Linked DNA regions of Rattus norvegicus. The protein of the gene in region 1 purifies or fractionates together with the protein of each later gene. This does not show direct contact. Links are inferred from orthologs where the notes say so. Each region holds a gene or a part of one and is shown on either strand. Other genes may lie near its edges. The genes, in order: Kcmf1, Abhd10 and Acot9.

Region 1 (3,652 bases):
CTCCCGCCCTCGTGTTACTCTTTTTAAAGACTTCTGTATGTGAATGAGTGTCTGCTGGCATGTGTGCATGTGCATCTGTGCACGCCTGGTACCTGAAGGGGCCAGCAGAGGCTGCCAGAACCTCTGAAGTCAGGTCACTGGACAGTCTGTGAGCTGCCATCTAGGTGCTGGGAACTGAAGCCAGGTCTCCTCAGGGAAAAACAGCAAGGCTCCAAGTTCTGAGCTACTTCTTCAGCCCCTTTGATAGGGTCTCATGTGTCTCAGGCTGGCCACAAACTCATAATGTGGGAGGATATCCTTGATTTTTCTCAGTGCTGACATTACAAGCCAAGTGCGAGGATTAGAGACTGCGCATCATTGTGTATGTAAGGTCAGCATTCTATAACAGAACTACATTCCTAGCCCTCAAGGTAGTTTTAGAAATACATGAAAACTTCCACCAGTGGAATAAATGGTCTGCTATATGTGATGAGTATTAATGATACCATGGTAAGCCATTTTCTAAAGTTACTTTTGGGTAACAATCCTAAGAATTTAAATCTAATTTTGGGAAATCACATATACTCCTCCCTCCCCCATATTATGAAAGCGTTTGTTCTTCTATATATCTATACTTGTGGTACATGCATGTGCACATGTGTAGACACAGGTATGTGTACCTGTTCGTATTTCTGAAGGCTAGAGGTGGGCACTCTTAGGGCTGGAACAACAGAATACTCTTTACTTAGGTGTGAGGATCTGAACTCAGGCCCTCATGCACTGAACACTACCCACTGCACCATCTCCATTAAGCCCTCTTCTGTTCTAATGTTTCAGCAGACTTTAATGGAAGATTAGAACAGACATTATTAAATAAATTAGCTAATAAAGGTGTATAAATATAAGTGAAATGATACAGCATTTTAAGTGTTATGTGTAGTATGGGAAAGAAAATATTTTTTAAAGTTTTTCTTTTTAATAACTTTTAAAAATTTTATTGTATTTGTTTATGTAGCCTAGAAGTATATGAATAGAGTAATATTCTCTATTCAGTTTATTTCCCTCAGCCAATTTCAATGTCCCAAAGTTTAATTAACAAAGAAAAATATTTTTAACGATGATATACACACACACACACACACACACTCACCCCGTAATACCTTGTAAACACAAACACCAACATTTACTTTATCTGAAACAGTAAGTTTTTGTGTTCCTAGGGGAATATTAAATATGTATTTTAATTGGAGAGCTGTAATGCTTTAATCCAAGACAGTTTTTCATGAAGTTATACACACAAAAGGAAAGAGCTCATTAGACTGGACAGTGTCAACAAAACATCCTCTCTCCAGCCCAGCCACACTAGTCAATGAAATACCTTGTTAACAGGAACTGGGAGTTGTGGAGGGCCTGCGGGCTGTTCTCTGTGTTGGCTGTGTTGGCTGTGGCCGTGGCCTGTGTGATCGTAGTGGTGACGCTGCTTGTGTTAGTGCGCCGACTTGCGTTGCGAGCAGTCTCCAGTTGTTGCCGGGCCGCCTGCGCATGCTGCCGCTCAAGCTGCAGCTGCATCTGCAGTTGTTGCAACTGAGAAGCGGAAGGGCCTGAAGAGTTAAGCTGTCCTCCTGCAGAACGTCTCACTCCTGATAACTGAGATAACAGCTCTGCCAATGGAAACGCATATAATCAATCAACTTGACACAGGGAAACTTAGTGCTTCGTTACCATTTTGTCAGTGGAGAAAATCGAAGTGTTGTGAAACAATGCAAGTTCACGCAACATATTCCAAGTTCTGCCAAGGACCCAACACCTATGTGAACCTACATAAAACTAAGCCTGCTTCAGACAGAACTTAAAAGGTGGCTTTAAAAACTATTTAGACTCAGGGTTGGGGATTTAGCTCAGTGGTAGAGCGCTTGCCTAGCAAGCGCAAGGCCCTGGGTTCAGTTCCCAGCTCCGGAAAAAAAAAAAAAACCCAACAACAACAACAACAACAACAACAACAACAACAAAAACAAAAAACAAAAAAACAAAAAAAAAAACCCAAAAACTATTTAGACTCAAGAGCAGGTCCAATCATAATCAAGAACTGTTAAGGGAAACACCATGAAAGCATGAAAGTCTACTCTTTACTCCCAGTTCTTGGATCAGGGCCTGGCATGATGGTATCAGCACTCATAAATCTCTGCTCATTTGATCAGAGGAGTTAGCAGGATGAAACCTCAGAGTCTGGAGCGTTTATAAATGTGGTTCTTGTATTCTGGCTTCTGCCTCCTCTCCACTGTAGCGCTTGACTCTGGCCTGGTAAAACCCATACTCTTGTTTTAGTGGAGTTGTTCAAGGTATTGTAACATCCTCCTTCAGTATGTTCAATAATCACTATGTTCTTAATCATGGTGAGGAGGGACACATTCCTACTTTCCTCCCAAGAACTTACTGAGTGCCTAAGTCCTTAAGGTGGAATCACAGGATTCTAAGGACTCTGAAATCTTTCCTAAAGCCCTTCCTCTGTGTTATCTTATCCCCTAATGCCTTTGAGAAATGCAGTAGTACATGGATTACTTTATGATGTCCACTTAAACTTGAAGGAATCCACGCACAGGACTAGAAGCAAAAGTAAAACATAAACTACACAAACCATCTTTAAAGGAGCTCCCCAACCTCTGCCCTTGCCTTTAAGAAGTGGAAACAAACTTACCAGCTATAGGATCCATGGCTTCCCTACTGCTTGGAGAGTATGAACTCTGAGAAGAAGAGAGTCCACCAGTAGAACTGCTAGTAAAGTGCATGTTTGATCTACGAGCACGAGGGCCTCCTAACCCCCGACCAGGGTGAAACATTCTACGTACATGTCGAACACCACTCGATTCATCATAACTCAAGGTTAAGGAAAGGATAAGTAGTTTACAAAAAGAAGAAAAAACAAAATGAAAGTTGTTGGGAAGTCCTAAATTGTGAGCAGCTTAAAATAGTACTTTTAGCTTAGAATATAAATGTCACAACTCTATGAGGCTCGTTTATCCTAAAAAAGATAACATGAAACAACAGACATAAGCTAGGCATGATGTAATCCTGAATCGATGCATGCCTGTAATCCTAACTCAGAGGCAAAGACAGGAAAACAATGGAGTTTGAGGCCAGACTCAAAAAAACCAGATAAATACAATCATACAATACATACATATAATACAAAAGCAATGTATAGATTCTATATGTTCTGAAGGCCAAGAACTTTCTTCCAGGTTCTAGACCTGAACACTGCCAGAGCGAGGTCAAAAGAGCTGCCTGGTCACAGATCTATGGTGCTCTTAACACTGGATTTTATGTATCAAGAAATAAGACACTCAGTCTCTACAATGAAAAGGAGCAAGCTGAATAATCTAAATTCTGTAAATGTGGCTTGTTTCAATGTCCGCTTTAATTTCTGTCTTCAACTTTTATTCCCAGCTCTGTTGCTAAACAGAATATACCTGAATTGCTGTATCACTGGATACACATTAATCTAACATGCTTCAAGCAGATTGCTAGAAGCCTTATTCTTCTCAGGATTGAATGTGAACCAAACTGAGCAAGGTCTTGTGCAGCAATTAGCCACCTAAATCATAAAGATAAGAAATAAGGACCAACTGACCAACCAACCAGCCGTTGAAGTTAACCTTGTATTTCCACAGAGGCA
Region 2 (4,141 bases), on another chromosome or scaffold:
CTGTGCATACTATACAGTATGTACTGTACTGTACATACTGTACTGTACTATACTATACTGTACTATACATACTGTACTGTACTGTACTATACTATACTATCACTACTCAGCCTCAAGCACCCATGTTAGAAAGTAATAAACAGTGATCAAATAAGTCTTTTGTCTTCAGTGGAAAACCCATCATCACAGGAGATTACAAGAAATCCAACAAGTATATTCCTTTGCCACACAGATTGTTTTATCTAGAGAACTAAGTTACTAGCTCCCTTCTACCTTCTGCTGCCAATCTAGCCAGCACAGCACCCATACCTTAACGTCCCTAACTCATAAAACCAAAGTCTGCACACTATTAAATAACTCCATTTACTAAAACACTGGCCTTTACTTCATTTACTTAATTTCAATACTAAATGGCAATATATTCGCTGAAATGTATTGTTCCTACCTGATAAAGGCGTGACCTATAGATTTGCAAAACTCCTCAATCGCTACTGCCTTTTTACCATTCATGTTAGAAAGATAACCAGGGATGAAGATAATTCCTGGGTTTTTGCCCTTTAACCTCTTATAAGCCAGGCTTGGAAGTTCTGGTCGTTTAAGGAAAGAGAGTGTTGTCTTTTGTCTGCAAGCTAAACAAAGTACACAAAGCGTCAATGATACTTTGAAAATTATTTTTGGAAAAAAAAATCACACGTATTTTCACATTTTAACTTTCTTATCCCGCTGCATTTGACAGGAAAAGTCAAAATAAGCTTCAAGTAGGAGATTTTTAGTTTTAAGGTTGCATCAAAAATTTTTAACTTCTTAGAGGAAGGCCCAATCATACTTTCCCAAAATACAGAATGAAATAGCAATTTCAGTAAAACAAAAAAGAGACTCATCAAAAAATATCTTCATGTTGGCATAATGGGATTATCCTAAACATTAGCAATGAACATTTAAATTTAAATACATCACTTTCAGCTTTTCCCCTGAGATTTCTCCGTTTTAAAGATGTTTCAGGAATTCATATCTTCTACTTTGGTCAGATGAATAGGAGGAAAGAAGTGGAGGTGTGTTTTGTTTCTTTCTCTCCCCTGCCTTTACAAAATTATTTCAAAGGGAAACTGACTCCTGCAACCCCAGGTTTTGGGAATCGGAGGTGAAATAATCACGAGTCTTGAAAGTATTTATTGAGGAGGGAATGATATCCGAAGCACTGAGCTGTGTTTGACCCGATTACCACTTAGCAATCCTCCCCAGAAATGGCAAGCAAGTGGTAACAAACCGTAACTTCCTACATGTGGGGTTTCACACGGCCGTTCCTTTAAGAATAAGTTTGGATCAATTATCATTCTTGGAGACATATTTCTCAAACAGCTCTGTAATTGATGCTCTACTTTGGTTGGCTGCCTTTTTGTAAGTGGAACACATATACCTTAGAACTATCTAAATGTGTCGGGACAAATGGTGACTCTTACAGGGCTTTCTTTGCTGAGCCATCTTTGCTAGCCCTTATTAAAAAAGAAAATTAAGCAGTCTTACTTTAACTCATGTTGCTTGTAAAAGCTTCTGGGTCTCTCCCCTGTGTACTGCTAAATGTTTTTTCCCATTTTTAATTTTTGAGAAAAAAAATGAGTAGAGAGCCACAGGCAGGGGGGGACCACTACAATTTCCAGGTCAGCTTGTTCTGTACACTGAGTTGTAGGAAAGACAAGAGGCTAGGTGGTGAAACCCTGTCTCACAAACCATACCCTGCCCCCAAACACACACAAAGAATCAAAAGTTTTGAAGTTTTCCCTTATTTGTGTCAAATAGATTCAAACGTTTAGTGTATGGAAAAATGCACCAACTTTAAAACTGGATTTAAAACAGGGTTTCTGGGGATCAGTTTATGCTGGTCAATAGATTGTATCAACATTAATGTTCATATCCCATTTCTTTAATTAAACACTCAAACTACTTTTTTTATCCCGTTTCAGGCATAACCCCCCCAACAAATTTCATTTCAGGCGGTTACACTGAATTGATGTTTGTTAGCTGTAAAACAACAGATTCAACCTTCAATCTATATATAATATAGATTAGCTGAAAGCCTAATGTATACACTGTTAATGAATACTGCTAAAGAGATAAAAAAATATGTTCCTCTTGTTAACTAACTATACTTCCTAGCATTACATAATACTCTTTTTTTGTGTGTGTACAGTGTTAAGCTAATCTGATTACATACTTTAAAAAAATTAAACATGTTAATTTATATAATGGCATTACTATTCCAAGGATATTATTCAAGGATAACTATACACACACAAATCATGTATTCTATGTATGTAATATTATTGATCCAAATTTTAGTTTCCATTGTAGAGTAATTCCAATTTTTTCAACAAGAAAAATCAGATGTTAGGTCCAAAGATGGCATTTACTTGTATATACATACTTTGTTTCCTTAAGTCCGCGACTGGCAAGGCCAAACATTTGACACAATATGGTAAAGCCCTAGAAGCAGTTAATATTCAAATACATCAAATGCACATCTTAACTTTTCTTTTCTGGTCTTGAGGTTTGATTCAGAGAACGCAGGAGCTCCTTAAATCGCAATGTAAACACAAGGACCTCCAAGAACGCCCCAGAGCCTCAGCAGAAGAGTAGACTCTCCCAGCCTTCCCCAGAAGTGTTCAGTGCCGAGAAAGCCAGAGCAGTTTTGAATGGCGCGCCGAGCCCGCAAGGCGGGCACTGGACGATCGCCAGGCCTTCGAAAGAACCCCAGTACCCCACCTTCCCCTACACTAACCTGAGAGCCACCATGCCCATGGGGGCTTCCGAGCAAGTGACGCGATCAGGCCTCGGTGCCGGCCGAAGGACACAGCCGCCCAGCCCCACTTCCGACAAGGTACCCAGGCAGCCATCTTCCCAGCTACCCCTGCGCCCGCTACAGACGTGCACCGGTCGCGCGGTCCCGAGGTCACGCACGCGCAGTCCGCAGGAAGGCGGAGGTTGCTAACTTGCATCACGTGGGATTTGTTTCTCCCGAGGAGACGCATGCGCAAGGGTGCTGTCTGGCGTGTGGCTGTCTCGACTAGTTTGTTCTGTGTACCCCAAAGGGCATTTGGCTTGTGACATTAGGCGTCCTTGGCCGTTTTTCATCGCAGTAAGCTGCAGAAATCTCAGAGAGGAGCTATGGTCAAATGGAGCGTTTGTAAATGGGAAACCGTGTTACCATCCGGAGGACCCAAAGACCTGTGATAAAATTTGCTAGGCTTCTTTGATTACTCCTATGGGGGTAAAAATTCAAGAGGCCAGTCACATTATTGGAGTCGCATCAAACATTCTTTGCTCTCTCCCAAACATTTTCCCACTCACCAGATTGCTAAACATTCAAATGAGCAGCCACAAGTAAAAGTACTGAAAACACTCATTCACATATGGTTGCTCTATGGGTGAAAACCTAAAGTCTTTTGTCAGGCAATCTGGCCATGTTTGTTTATTATGCACATACTTTTCAGTACTCTTTGAACTACCATTCCTTTTATGACTATCCTAAATAAAAAGAACACTGAAGGGACCCCTAGACCAAGTTCCCACCACATAGAGATTTGTCCCACAGACACAAAGGGCAGGGAGTAAAAGACAAATTCTGGACATGGGGGATGAGAGAGAAAGAGGAGGAAACAAGAGAGGAGGAAGGGGTATTTGTTCCAGATGGGGGACATAGGACTGCCTCTGGATAGAGAGAAGACAGATGCGGTCCATAGGAAAAGGGCAGATTATAAAGGTAAAAGGATAAGACCCATGCTAGGATGAGGTGTTTAATTTTGATTGGACATATTAATTAGGACTAAGACAGCCACAGGGGGCTTTTTGCTGGACTTAAATACTTTGATTTTCAGACTTGGTAGTGGGCAGGAAGTGGCCAAATAAGGAAATAGACCTTGGGGGCTACAGTTTCCAGCAAAGCAGAGGAAATGAATGAGAAGGGCAAGGACTTCCAAAGTCATCTTTGCCTGCTCAAGCTGGCTAGACTCCCTTCAACATGAGTTCATAAGGCTGTGTATTATCTTAAAAGAACAGTTTTTGTAAAGACAAAAGCAAGGTGTGTGTGTGTGTGTGTGTGTGTGTGTGTGTGTGTGTGTGTGTGTGTAGTAATCAGTGGCAATAG
Region 3 (3,652 bases), on another chromosome or scaffold:
AAAAATATTGTTTGTCCTTTTATGTCCTCCTATGTCCAGATTAAAAAGGTAAAATAAAATGGCCCTTTCTGTCATGGAATCACAGTCTACCCATAACTGTTATTAGGAATACAAATACCAGTACCTCCTAAGCTATCAAGGTCCTCAAGAATCCTGCCAAATCTGTGAAACAAAGCAAAATATGAATTAAATAAAAATCACAATGATTTCCCCTTAAAATCCCATAATACACTTTAAAATAATAAAAGGACTATAAAAATGACTTTAGTGATATTTACACAACTCTTTCACTATACTGAAACACTCATATACAGTCACAACTCTTTCACTATACTGAAACACTCATATACAGTCATACACTTTAAAATAGATGAATTACAAAGTTTATGAATTGTATCTCACTATAGTTGTTTTAAAAGAAAAAATTAAAACAAATGACAATGATGAATATAATACAGTGTTACCTCACTGTATTTTGAACAGTCAAATATTTGTCTCGTAGATCAGGGTCAGAACCCAAAGGCAGGAGGACTTCAATGTAACTGTCCTTCATTTTCCTCGGTGGTAGGGCTTTCTGTGATGTAGCCAAAAAATTATGAAGTAACTTCCTTTCCTCCATTGCTTTTACATGGTCTCTGAGAAGAAAAGGCAAGGCTTCATAAAACAAGAATAGTGCTGACCCACAATTCCAGTACCCATCCCTCAAACAGGATAGTCAGACATAAAAAATGGAAGCAAGGGAGATCTATGCCTGCCTTATCTTCAATCCCTTCACTCCTCTCTCATGACCCACCTGGAGAAACTGAGCATTTCTTTTTTTTTTAATTAACTTGAGTATTTCGTATTTACATTTCGAATGTTATTCCCTTTCCCGGTTTCCGGGCAAACATCCCCCTCCCCTCTCCCCTTCCTTATGGGTGTTCCCCTCCCCATCCTCCCCCCATTGTCGCCCTCCCCCCAACAATCTAGTTCACTGGGGGTTCAGTCTTAGCAGGACCCAGGGCTTCCCCTTCCACTGGTGCTCTTACTAGGATATTCAATGCTACCTATGAGGTCAGAGTCCAGGGTCAGTCCATGTATAGTCTTTAGGCAGTGGCTTAGTCCCTGGAAGCTCTGGTTGCTTGGCATTGTTGTTCATATGGGGTCTCGAGCCCATTCAAGCTCTTCCAGTTCTTTCTCTGATTCCTTCAAACGGGGTCCTATTCTCAGTTCAGTGGTTTGCTGCTGGCATTTGCCTCTGTATTTGCTGTATTCTGGCTGTGTCTCTCAGGAGCGATCTACATCCAGCTCCTGTCGGTCTGCACTTCTTTGCTTCATCCATCTTGTCTAATTGGGTGACTGTATATGTATGGGCCACATGTGGGGCAGGCTCTGAATGGGTGTTCCTTCTGTCTCTGTTTTAATCTTTGCTTCTCTATTCCCTGCCAAGGGTATTCTTGTTCCCCCTTTTAAAGAAGGAGTGAAGCATTCACATTTTGATCATCCGTCTTGAGTTTCATTTGTTCTAGGCATCTAGGGTAATTCAAGCATTTGGGCTAATGTCCACTTATCAATGAGTGCATACCATGTGTGAAACTGAGCATTTCTAATGACATTTTTAAACTTGTACGTAAGAGTCTCATGCTCTACCAACTGTGAGAGCTGGGGGCTAGCCATATATATAAAAATGCATATTTACTGATATAGGTACATCTAATTGGGACACTGACCAAAAAGTTTCTTCAGAAATCAAGTTATCATTCAGTGTTTAAGAGCAGTGGCTTCTTGTTTAGAGGACTCTGATTGGCTTCCCAGCACTCACAACCATCTGTAACTATATTTCCAGAGGATCTGATGCCACCTCCTAGCCTCCTCAGACACTGAACACACATGATACCCATGCATAGAAAACACATAAAAAGTTTTATCTTTTAGAAGGCTTATTCATACTAGCAACATAGCTTGGGAGTAGAATACTTGCCTAGCATGTGTAAAATCCTGAATTCAACACTAAGCCAGAAAGGGGAAGAGAGATGAGGCAGGGTTATAACACTACTTCAGAGTCTCATTATCCTGTCAGATTCATATTTGTTCTCATAGTCTCTCTCCTCTCTTCCCCTCTCCCTCTCCCTCCCCTTTCCTTTAGTTTTAGAAAAGAGACAAATGAGAAAAAAATGAATGATATCCAAACAATGTATGCAAAGCAGAATAAAAGGTAAAAGGGAAGAAAATGTTTTTAAAAGACAAAAGCGGAAAACAGAAAACTAAAGTAGAACACAAAAGAGAAAGCAGCAGGAAACGAAAAATTTAGCAGCACTATTATATACAAAGTGCTTCTAAATTTAAATGATTTATTTGAGTTAATTTTATACCCAGCCACTTTGCTGAAGTTGTTTATCAGCTTTAGTAGTTCTCTGGTGGAACTTTTGGGATCACTTAAATATACTATCATGTCATCTGCAAATAGTGATATTTTGACTTCTTCTTTTCCGATCTGTATCCCTTTGATCTCCTTTTGTTGTCTGATTGCTCTGGCTAGAACTTCAAGAACTATATTGAATAAGTAGGGAGAGAGTGGGCAGCCTTGTCTAGTCCCTGATTTTAGTGGGATTGCTTCAAGTTTCTCTCCATTTAGTTTAATGTTAGCAACTGGTTTGCTGTATATGGCTTTTACTATGTTTAGGTATGGGCCTTGAATTCCTATTCTTTCCAGGACTTTTATCATGAAGGGGTGTTGAATTTTGTCAAATGCTTTCTCAGCATCTAATGAAATGATCATGTGGTTCTGTTCTTTCAGTTTGTTTATATAATGGATCACGTTGATGGTTTTCCGTATATTAAACCATCCCTGCATGCCTGGGATGAAGCCTACTTGATCATGATGGATGATTGTTTTGATGTGCTCTTGAATTCGGTTTGCCAGAATTTTATTGAGTATTTTTGCGTCGATATTCATAAGGGAAATTGGTCTGAAGTTCTCTTTCTTTGTTGTGTCTTTGTGTGGTTTAGGTATAAGAGTAATTGTGGCTTCGTAGAAGGAATTCGGTAGGGCTCCATCTGTTTCAATTTTGTGGAATAGTTTGGATAATATTGGTATGAGGTCTTCTATGAAGGTTTGATAGAATTCTGCACTAAACCCGTCTGGACCTGGGCTCTTTTTGGTTGGGAGACCTTTAATGACTGCTTCTATTTCCTTAGAAGTTATGGGGTTGTTTAACTGGTTTATCTGTTCCTGATTTAACTTCGATACCTGGTATCTGTCTAGGAAATTGTCCATTTCCTGAAGATTTTCAAATTTTGTTGAATATAGGTTTTTATAGTAAGATCTGATGATTTTTTGAATTTCCTCCGAATCTGTAGTTATGTCTCCCTTTTCATTTCTGATTTTGTTAATTTGGACACACTCTCTGTGTCCTCTCGTTAGTCTGGCTAAGGGTTTATCTATCTTGTTGATTTTCTCAAAGAAGCAACTTTTGGTTCTGTTGATTCTTTCTATGGTCCTTTTTGTTTCTACTTGGTTGATTTCAGCTCTGAGTTTGATTATTTCCTGCCTTCTACTCCTCCTGGGTGTATTTGCTTCTTTTTCTTCTAGAGCTTTTAGGTGTGCTGTCAAGCTGCTGACATATGCTCTTTCCTGTTTCTTTCTGCAGGCACTCAGCGCTATGAGTTTTCC

Evidence for each region.
Region 2: the proteins of Kcmf1 (region 1) and Abhd10 purify together in Homo sapiens (affinity purification with mass spectrometry; 3 studies listed by BioGRID and IntAct, counting the BioPlex papers as one, with this or other methods). This does not show direct contact. The link is inferred for Rattus norvegicus from reciprocal best matches to the Homo sapiens genes KCMF1 and ABHD10.
Region 3: the proteins of Kcmf1 (region 1) and Acot9 purify together in Homo sapiens (affinity purification with mass spectrometry; 3 studies listed by BioGRID and IntAct, with this or other methods). This does not show direct contact. The link is inferred for Rattus norvegicus from reciprocal best matches to the Homo sapiens genes KCMF1 and ACOT9.

The regions. Positions count from the first base shown.
Region 1 is NC_086022.1:106,452,782-106,456,433, forward strand, and holds part of Kcmf1 (E3 ubiquitin-protein ligase KCMF1), read right to left. Parts: intron 2,850-3,652; coding exon 2,675-2,849; intron 1,641-2,674; coding exon 1,358-1,640; intron 1,110-1,357; exon of another isoform or gene 987-1,109; intron 1-986. UniProt on the Homo sapiens protein: E3 ubiquitin-protein ligase which accepts ubiquitin from an E2 ubiquitin-conjugating enzyme and then transfers it to targeted substrates, promoting their degradation by the proteasome.
Region 2 is NC_086029.1:68,542,690-68,546,830, reverse strand, and holds the start of Abhd10 (palmitoyl-protein thioesterase ABHD10, mitochondrial precursor), read right to left. Parts: upstream 2,897-4,141; 5' UTR 2,892-2,896; coding exon 2,777-2,891; intron 630-2,776; coding exon 446-629; intron 1-445. UniProt on the Homo sapiens protein: Acts as an acyl-protein thioesterase that hydrolyzes fatty acids from acylated residues in proteins.
Region 3 is NC_086039.1:43,956,187-43,959,838, forward strand, and holds part of Acot9 (acyl-coenzyme A thioesterase 9, mitochondrial), read right to left. Parts: intron 636-3,652; coding exon 465-635; intron 163-464; coding exon 125-162; intron 1-124. UniProt on the Homo sapiens protein: Mitochondrial acyl-CoA thioesterase. Catalyzes the hydrolysis of acyl-CoAs into free fatty acids and coenzyme A (CoA), regulating their respective intracellular levels. Regulates both mitochondrial lipid and amino acid metabolism.